Linked DNA regions of Drosophila melanogaster. The protein of the gene in region 1 interacts with the protein of each later gene in a pairwise test. Each region holds a gene or a part of one and is shown on either strand. Other genes may lie near its edges.

Region 1 (5,825 bases):
CGCTTCTAACCCACCCTCTCGCTTGGAAAATAAAACTTGCGCAAAAAGGCAACCGAAAACTTTTAGAGAAAACTTTCTTGCTTCTCTCCTCTTGCACAAACATAAACAAGATTAATTTCACATGTTTTCCAGGGGTGGCGAGGACTTTTCCAGAGGCGGAGAATAGCTGCTCGAGTTATTACTTTGATTATGTTTATTCTAGTCATGAAATCCAAATGCCCGTTTCATGTGCACTTCATTTAATAAACCCATGCCACCAAGTGAAAGCGCGAAATGATTTCCATGGCATTTTTGTGTGCTCGTGTGCAAGTTTTCCTCACTTCATGTGATTAGCCAAGTGAAAAAACAAGAGATTAGGCAACTATTTCCAACTTCATTTGCCTATGGATAATGCGCTGGTATGGCAAACATCGTACCTCATTACTTATTCATTTTCGAGTTTAATGAGGTGGGTTTGAATTTACTTCTTAGACTTATTAGCACACGTAGAACATACGCACCTATACTTCGATCATCTTTGATTCGCTTGAGATTTGAAGGGTACGAAAGGAAAGACAAAGCTCTTTAATATGGCCACTAATCTAGACACCGTCTGCGATCTTTCCACTATCTGACAAATTTGGCCGTCATCCAATGCGATTTTCGCCATTCTGCCCTCACTCATCCTCATGGACCACGTCTATATCTCAGTCGGTGCGATCTGTATCTGTGGCGACTCTTAAGTGCTTTTAATTATGTCCACTTAAGTCTCAATATCGCCAGCTTCCGAAGCGCGCAAATCACACAGAACCACACACATTGCCATTGCAGTGGAACAGGAAACTTGGCAGTTGGGGAGCCGGAGGAACTGCTCGGCGCACTCTAAATAAAGCATAACAATTTATGAAATTTTAATTTTTACACTTAATAACACGCCGAGTTATGGGCGCGCCAAGTGAAACGGGCCAAGCGAATTCGCCAGGAAAATGGGAAATGGCTCAGGGGGACTGACTTTCATATAGAGACATCAATGTGAGACGAGCGCGGGCAGGTGGCCAAACCTCCGGGAGTGGGACAAACTGCGGTGCAACTTGTGTGGCATCAACCGCAGACGTTGGGCGCAATTAGAGACGCTGTATATTTTTGGTGCCCGACCGACTCGCGGATTATGCCACAAGTCGGATTGTCGTCTCACGTTCGGAAAATTCGCCAATGCCAAACTGGAACATGCGATTTAAATAGCTTATATAAAATTACGCCGCTTTGATGACCATTAAATAACACACGAAACTATACAGATAATAGATAATTATTACAATTTTTTCCAACACAGTGCTGAAATTGAAAAGGCGGAGAACATTATGGACTTTGGATAATCCTCTGAATATATACACTGCAATACAAACTGATTTGTCGCACCCCCACGGGAAAATACAGTTCTTGCGCGAGTTGAAAAGTCGATTTGATTGCTGCTTCAATTCAAAATGTTCCAATCAAGAATTTTCAATTCCAATTAAAGAGGCCACCGAATGGAAAATTCGTGGCGGATTATTGGGTATTATGTTTTGCCGTCCGTTCCTCTTATTCACTGCTATCGTCCTATTCCGTTCCCGGGTGAACGTTTAACAATTTTGAAAGCGCATCTCTGTATTGTCTGATCAGTTCTGGCTGGGATCGCTGGAGGTGCTGGAGTCCAGGTGCAATGCCTTCTCCAAGGACTTATAATCGTTCGAGATCTCGACGGCGTTGTTGAGATCGTTCATCATGGTAGCGATGAGACCCTGGTGCTCCTGTTGCATTTTGTCTTGGATACGCCTGTTTTCCTCCGCCTGGCGAAGAATCAAGGACTTGAAGCGATTCTTTTGAATTTGCTCTTCGTCCTGCACATATCCTGGTCTTTTATAGACCGGCACTGGAGTCCTGATGCTTTTCGGCACATTCAAGTGGCTGGTATCAGGCAGAGGTTTCTGTTTGACTGAGGAAATCTGGCCCCTGCTCACCAGAATTTTTCGCTTGGCAGCCACTTTGGCGTCATAGGTGCGTCGGGCCTGGTAGGCACTCTGGGTTTTGGTGACACTGGCACTGTTGGCCACATGGCTGGTAATCAGTTTCGGGATTCGACTGGGACTCCTGATTGTCGTAAGCTTATTGGGTTGCTGCTGCTCGATACCTTGTACACTTTGTGGCTCACATTTTATAGGCAAAGTAAACTGTGACTTGGGAATCTGCATCAGATCTCTTCGCCACAGTTGGTGATGAAGCTTCGAAAGATCAGGACTGGTAGAGCTCCGATGAAGTGGTTCCAGGACATTCTCCGTTGGCTTGGGTTTCTCCGCCTTCGGTGGATCCAACTTGGTCACCCAAACACTCTCTGCTGTGGCCAACTTCACGGGTGTCAGCGTGACAACAACTCTTTGCGGCGGAGTCAGAGAAGCATCCTCCATTACCAGCTGAGAAGTCATCCCAATTGGCATGCTAGGCGGAGCAGAAATCTGCATGGTCATCTCGGCTGTGTGATCATAGATCATTGTCTCCGATTGCTGTAATCTCTGGCGGAAGCGTCCCATTATGACCGGACAACCAAATCCTTGTTGCGATTTTGTATTGGTAGATGCATCCCTCCGTTCAGGATTTGTAATCTGGTTCCTCTTCTGGACCACCTCCTTGGTTAAGGCGCACAAGCGCAGTCGCATCATTTCCAGTCTCTTCCAGTCAGTCATCTATTAGGGATATATAATACAGTTCATATGCTATCTCAAAAGATAATCACCAACCACTGGCGGCAGAATAGGTTTCTCATTCAGGCAGTATCCCGACTCGAACTCGCCACCTCCAATATTGTTCAGTTCACTAAGCAACGTTAGCTGCTCTGTTTCTCCGGCCATGTTCAGAAAATTTCGTGTAGAAATTTCGTGTGGAAATTTCAGGTATCAAAAATGATCTTTATGTTCAGGAATTTATTTGTTGTGTGATGTGTAGGTTAAAGGAATGGAATGGAATTGGAAAGGCATGTGAGTTAAACCAACAACGGTTGACATTTGTAGAATGAGTGTGTTTGCTAGGAGTACTAGCGTACACACCACTGTCGGTAGACTACACTGGGGAAAATACTCTACACGCACAGGGAATCGATAGGTTTCTGTTGTCATACAAATATCTAGCTTGAAATGAAATTCTTCGATTTAAAATTCTAAATCCGCTGGTGCCGTTTTCTCCGAGTGCATACCACATGCACTGCCCATCCGCACTTTTGCCTCCCAATCCGGACGAAGAGTCTGACAAATGCGCCGCTCGTCGCCGGAGCGTGCCACAAAAGGTACGGGCAGTCGAGCGTGGAGCTGGCAAACAAGGAGCCCAAATAAAGTCCACTCCATTACCGGCAGGACATTCGTCCTCTCACTGTACATACATACGTGTGTGTGGGACCGTCTGGAAATTTGTCTTGGGCGCTTGTAGGTGTGATTTGTTTTTTAAATTTCAGACCGAAGCTGCAGAAGCTGGCCAATTTGTCTCCCCCAGTGGCTGGTTGACTTTTTATTTGCAACGGAGTCACGTAGCATTTTCACTTGCATACTTGCGACATGCGGCAATTTTCCACTAAATTTGCCATGTCAAACATATTTCGGACCGGCCGGAATATATGCAGCTCCGCTCCCCATAAAGAATTCAAATTAATACATTAACAGCTCCAGATAAGCGACCTTTTGGGGAGGAAAGTAAACGCTTGGCTCCCAGCGACAGGTAATAAACGCCGAGTCGTTCCGTTCGTGCCAAAGTCTCGAAAGTTTTGCTCCAAGGCAATTTGCCTCAAGTGGCAATTCGGGAGCGTGCCAAGTGCCTCGGTAACGGTAACAGCCCACGGATTACGAGAACACGGCGTGGGCACAAGTGGGTTAAGGCGGGGCACTCTGCGGCTAACCGCCTGCACCACAAAAGGTATTTATCTCATTGTGCAGATTAAGAGCTGCTCTCAAATTAGGTGAGTGTCGTCACGTGACACAAGATGAGATCTAGATGGCGATGAGGTTGGAAATAAAGGAAAGGTGGGTGGGTGGTTCGATGAAGGGGGTTCGGGGGCTGGGCTGGGAGAGGAATACCAATGTAAAATGACTTTGCTTGCTCTAAATTGGTCGCACAGCTAAAATAACTACTGTTTTGTGCAGCTAATTATCATAACTTGTTAGCCATAACAATTTTTAGTCGGTATGGGAAAATTCATATTTTTCAAATTTTTCGCATTTTTTTTAAGGGGTACCATCATCAAAATTGGGAAAAATGGCAAAATTTTGACTTTTCTAGGCTTGAATGCCATTCGATTGGAAATTTTGTAACGATTTCAGCGAGGTATGCCATTCCATATTGCGTCTACTACTTTTTTTTTTGTTTTTGTAGAAACAATGCTAATTTTTATTCGCTAAATCAGTGTTACTGCCTACAGTGCAAAACTGAAGTTTGTTATGCAAAGCTTAACCCCATTGGAAACCTGTGACCAAATCCCATTCCGCACTTTGTTGAAAGAGAGCCAGACTCCGATCCGGTTACACTTCATAAATTTAAAGAATTATGAGCCGTGACCCAGACGGAAGCGGAATGCAATTCAGCGAAGTGGCCAGGACGCAGTGAGTCCGAAGGAAGGAGGTCAACAGGTAATAACGGTTGCACGATTGGCTGGCCCTGACAATTTCCGCTAGATTTACAACCCTAGTGGAAAGGGGTGATATCGGATTGCAAGCATACTCTTTACGTTATATCCCCATTTTGTGGTCGGTCTACTAACAATCGATGCTAGTTGAGCATTGATTTTCGCTGATTTCGAAGGAAAGTTCAAGAGTCGCTGGCTGAAGTTCAAAGGCTTGGCTTTAATTGAGTTGCCACTGGGTTCATGCATATGCAGGGCGCAATTAAAAGTGCGCCAAGAAAAAGCGAGAAAGACAAACACTGGCGGAGGAAAACTCCTTGGAGGGGAGGAAAATGTCTGCGAGTGACTCAAGTCGAGTCTCCTGTCTGTTGACATTTCGCGGTATGGAAAAAATTAAATTAAAATGCAAATTAGGCATTCCTGCCGAGGAGTCTGGCCTGCAGTCTGCGATCCCCTTTTGCGGTCCTTGCTTTTCCTCCTGGCGTCCTGGCGTCTTTGGCAAAAGTGACAAATTGTTGTAAACACTGCAAGTTACGTATACGCCTCGTGGGACCTCGTGGGATAGTCACCTACGAAAAGCGGGTTCAAAGGGGCGAGTAGAGGGAGCTCCACCTATTGTATACATATTTTAACACAAGCCAAGAAGTGCCGACTTAGGGCCAAGATGAATGTTTTTATTTCTGCGCCTTTCGCCGTTCGTCCTTCTTTTCTGCGGTAAATTATGCAAAGTAGTTGCGTAATGCTCTTGTTACAATAATTTAATCTTGTAATCTGTTTCTGTTCGACTAACGGCAAGTGCCATAAATAATTCAGCTGGCCCGCTGCTGCAGATGCCGGAGGGAAATATCCTTGGAAGGAATCTTTGCATTTTTAATTTCAAGGTAAACAAGCGCAGATAACTTCGCCGCCAGAAACGGAATCCTAATGAGCCTCTCCTCAAGGTGACTTCTTCTACTTTGGATTGACATTTCAGCGAAGGCTGAGCCAGTTAATTCAATTTCCGCAAGCTGAAACAAAAATAAAAGAAGAGTTCACAAAGTTTATCCACGCAACCCCTTTTTTTTTATTCCTGGCGAAGGATATTCAGGAGATGGGGCACTAACGAACCCCATTTGCGGCTGGCTAATTGTGTCATACGCATCCTTTGAAGAGCTTCTAAGAAACGCGCTTTGGGATAAAAAATATTTTTTCATCTGTTACAAAGTGC
Region 2 (3,820 bases), about 12 Mb from region 1:
TATTGATAGACATACTGCATATACAATGTAGTTTTGTGCTAAACCCACAAATTCTAGACAAACAATGCGGTCTGAAAATTGCACGTTTGCATGTAAAATATATGGGGAGCAGCAGATGAAATTCATCACTGAATGCTCCTCCATCTCCTACCCCTGCAATCCACTCGTGCGTTTCATGGCGGGACACTTGGCGAATGTGGGTCAAAGTTGAACACAATCAGAGCTGAAAGCTTACATCAGTACTTTCGAACACGCCCACATTTCTGTGCACTCCAATGTGTATCCGAGTACTGAGTGCAAAAGCAAAACACTTGCCGCCCATTTCAGTAGTTAAAAAACAATGCACTTTGAAAAGCCTATAAAGAGGATCTTTTGTGCCATTTGCGTGTAGCATCAGATTCAGTCGTATAAATGATACCCTTGGGCGTATAATAATATTTAATATTCTGATACTTTTTGATATCATCTGCCGTTATCATAACGAAACGGTGTATACGATTTAAGTAAGCATATTAAACCGCTTTATTGCTTGGCATTTCATAAGATTGCACTTCTCTAAAAGATTGTGTAATATATATATATATATATGTATATATACATTGCGTGATATACATTTCCTGTTTTTGTCATATGAAGATTGCTCTGCGAAGGGTTTTTATCACTGGGCACTGGCGTAGAGAAAAAGGGTGCTGGAATAGCATATGTTATATGGTTATGGCTACCATGTGAGGATCGCCCGAAAGTCAGTCAGCTGGAAAGTGAGGTAAGCGCGCAAATGCACCACCTGCTGCGTCCGAAAGTGACAAAACGAAAACGAAACTCCTTCGGTTTTCTATTTTATTAATGGGTAAAGAAGAAGCTTCGTGCAGAGTTACACAGAGAGAAAAACTGCAAATGTATGACTCGTAAAAAAAGTGTATTTAGTGACCAATGGTGACCATTTGAAGCGGTATTTATGTAGGCAGCTGTTCTCTAATAATTCCAGTTATTCGTTAAATGCAATGACAGTGTTTTTCGTGTGCTGGCGATTATGCAGTCAAAACAGAAAATGGGTTTCCCATCCCATCCATAAATGTCACTGTACTCCCCGCTTATCGCTTGAGGCTTGAGTAAACAGTCGGAACAAACGTAGCATATCGGTTTATGCAATACTTTTTGAATTGTACAATAACTATTGTGCAGTCGCCAAGTTTCCCCTTTTGCCTTATACTTGCAGTCAGCCGGGCAAACATTTAATTAATTAACAAATGCGACCTTGACTGGAATTTCAATTAAGTAAGTAGCTTGAGCAAAACTTTGATGAGAATGGTGGAGTGATGTTACATATGTATGTATGTTTGCAAAAGCAAGCAGTTGTCAGGGTGATGTTGTGGTTAAATATCAATTGCGGGTAACTAACCTTTTGGTGATTTCCGATTCGTTCCGATCCGATTCGTTTCGATTCAAAAAAAAAAAACCGATCCGCAAAGTTGGTTTAGTGGTTTTTTTTTGTCTTTGCCTTTTTGGTTCGCAGAGGGTGGACCAAAACAGTTAAAAGTTAAAGAGAGTGACTAATGCCGCACGCACACAGTCGCACTCAATTTGTTGTCATACACACACAGAGAGACAAGCGCACACTCGCGGGCATCAACTTTGCACTCTTCTCACCCCCTCTCGCTCGTTCACTCGCATTCAAGGTGGTTAACGAGAGGTGAGCCAACAAAAACAACAACAGCAGCAGCCGCGGAGCGCACTCACACACACGCGCTAAATAGCTGAACAGCAGCTGCAAAAGTAGTAGCACGTATCCGCAGAGACAAAAACGAAGAAAGCAGGAGATGGAGAAGGAAGTGCGCCTGCAGCTGCGACAATTATCACCCGATTATTTCGCAGCGTGTATTGCGAAATGTGCGCCTTCGATTTGCTAAATACTTTTGCTTAATTATACGCACGCACACACACACCAAGGCACTTTCCCATAACGAATTTAATTCAATTCAACGACGTGCTGCACGAATCGCTTTCAGCTGTGCATTTAATAGCGATATTTGTCGGCCTTGATATGCGTCGATGTTTTTCAATGGTGTCGCAGAAGAGTTATGGAATAATTTAATTATTTTTCGTTTTTATTGCGCCGCGAACGCGTCCGTTATGTTGATTCTGCCAGAGTGACCGTGGCTTGCAGTCGAAATAATCCAGCGATTAAAAGTTTAATTTTCCCGCGGTTTTCAGCACTGTTTTCTATCGATTAATTTAAATGCTTAGATGTGTTTCCACTGGCATCATGGTTATAATAGGTTTTAACTTGTTTGGTTCCTTTTGAAAGTACTTAATCTAATTATACTCTCCTTGACTAATTGCTTTGGAAAATGTTGATAGCGAAACCTTTGTTTTTAATAAAAGACAACTGTTTCTTCTCTTGAAATCTCTAGTGTGAAGATGCTGAAATGACCCACGATGTAACCGTTTCTCCGGTTAAATTGCAACACAGTCTGACCAGATCAAGGTGCCCAAGAAAATACTTCCAAATTAAAAGCAAACTTTGCTTTCCGCATCCCTTAGAAAAATAGAATCCCGATATATATTATTTGGACTGCTCGAACGCCGCCGACGAGCCCAAAAACGCGCGCACATTTACAACGACAACAATACAAACTTGAGCTCAGTACGTAAACTTTTTTGACCAGCTGCCGTTAGAAGCAAATCAAAGCTGCGACGATGGATGACTCACGCGAAGAAAGCCAGTTCATTGTGGACGACGTGAGCAAGACGATTAAAGAGGCCATCGAGACGACCATCGGCGGTAACGCCTACCAGCACGACAAGGTGAACAACTGGACCGGCCAGGTGGTGGAGAACTGCCTGACGGTGCTCACCAAGGAGCAGAAGCCCTACAAGTACATTGTGACCGCCATGATCATGCAAAAGAACGGTGCTGGACTCCACACCGCCAGCTCCTGCTACTGGAACAACGACACCGACGGATCGTGCACAGTACGCTGGGAGAACAAGACCATGTACTGCATCGTTTCGGTCTTCGGACTGGCCGTCTAGAGTGGAGGAATGGCAGGACTGCCGGAATTCGCGATGAAGATGACTTAAAAGGGGGAGGGACTAACAAGATTGCCGTCGTACACCAGCACACACCAACAACACAAATACCATACTTTTTTGATCGGCCATCCATCCTGCTGTAATAACAAAATTTATTATGGAGCACTTGAAAACCTTGTCGTCACTTCCAAGCAATTAGCAAGCAACTATTCCGTTGCCAGTGTACTCGCCTAATGTTATTCTTGATTTTCAATCTAAAAACGTAAATAAAAAGTGTATAATACCGTAGCATAATAAGTTAATCATTGCAAACTGTTTTCAATGGGTCATCATTTTTTGGGTCGTGGGAATATTTTTCGTTTCCATGGCAGCAATTGGCCATTGGTCTAAAATCGATTTAAATTCCCAGGCATTTGTTAAAATTAAACTTTAATGGTCTTTCTCTTATTTCTTTATTTATTTTAGTTTATCAAAACCTTCTATCGTTTAGAATAATAATATTCCTTCTGGCATTGCCCAAAATAACAAAATCAGAAGTACCTGGATGCAATAAATGTAATTGGCGCGCCAGGGTTTGTTAAATCGATGGCGGGCGCGGTGTCCTTGAAGATACTCCTACTTCTTGCGCTGGAAGCGACGGCCCGACTTTAGAGCCGGAACCTTGCTGGGCAGGCGCAGGCTAAGGATGTCCGAATTGGATTTTGGCAGAGCGTTCACAATGTGGGCGTACTGCTTGATCCGAGCCTTGGTGGTGGCCAAAGCACGGGAGAGGACATTGATGTCCACT

Evidence for each region. The genes of interacting proteins can lie anywhere in the genome.
Region 2: the proteins of CG2267 (region 1) and Dlc90F interact in a two-hybrid assay, tested with the Drosophila melanogaster proteins (2 studies listed by BioGRID).

What each region holds. Positions count from the first base shown.
Region 1 is NT_033777.3:30,625,968-30,631,792, forward strand, and holds CG2267 (uncharacterized protein), read right to left. Parts: upstream 3,062-5,825; 5' UTR 2,865-3,061; coding exon 2,754-2,864; intron 2,700-2,753; coding exon 1,638-2,699; 3' UTR 1,274-1,637; downstream 1-1,273.
Region 2 is NT_033777.3:18,296,725-18,300,544, forward strand, and holds Dlc90F (dynein light chain 90F), read left to right. Parts: upstream 1-2,504; 5' UTR 2,505-2,697; coding exon 2,698-3,033; 3' UTR 3,034-3,320; downstream 3,321-3,820. Other genes in the region: Polr1E (RNA polymerase I subunit E), read right to left, coding at 3,649-3,820. UniProt on the Drosophila melanogaster protein: Acts as one of several non-catalytic accessory components of the cytoplasmic dynein complex that are thought to be involved in linking dynein to cargos and to adapter proteins that regulate dynein function.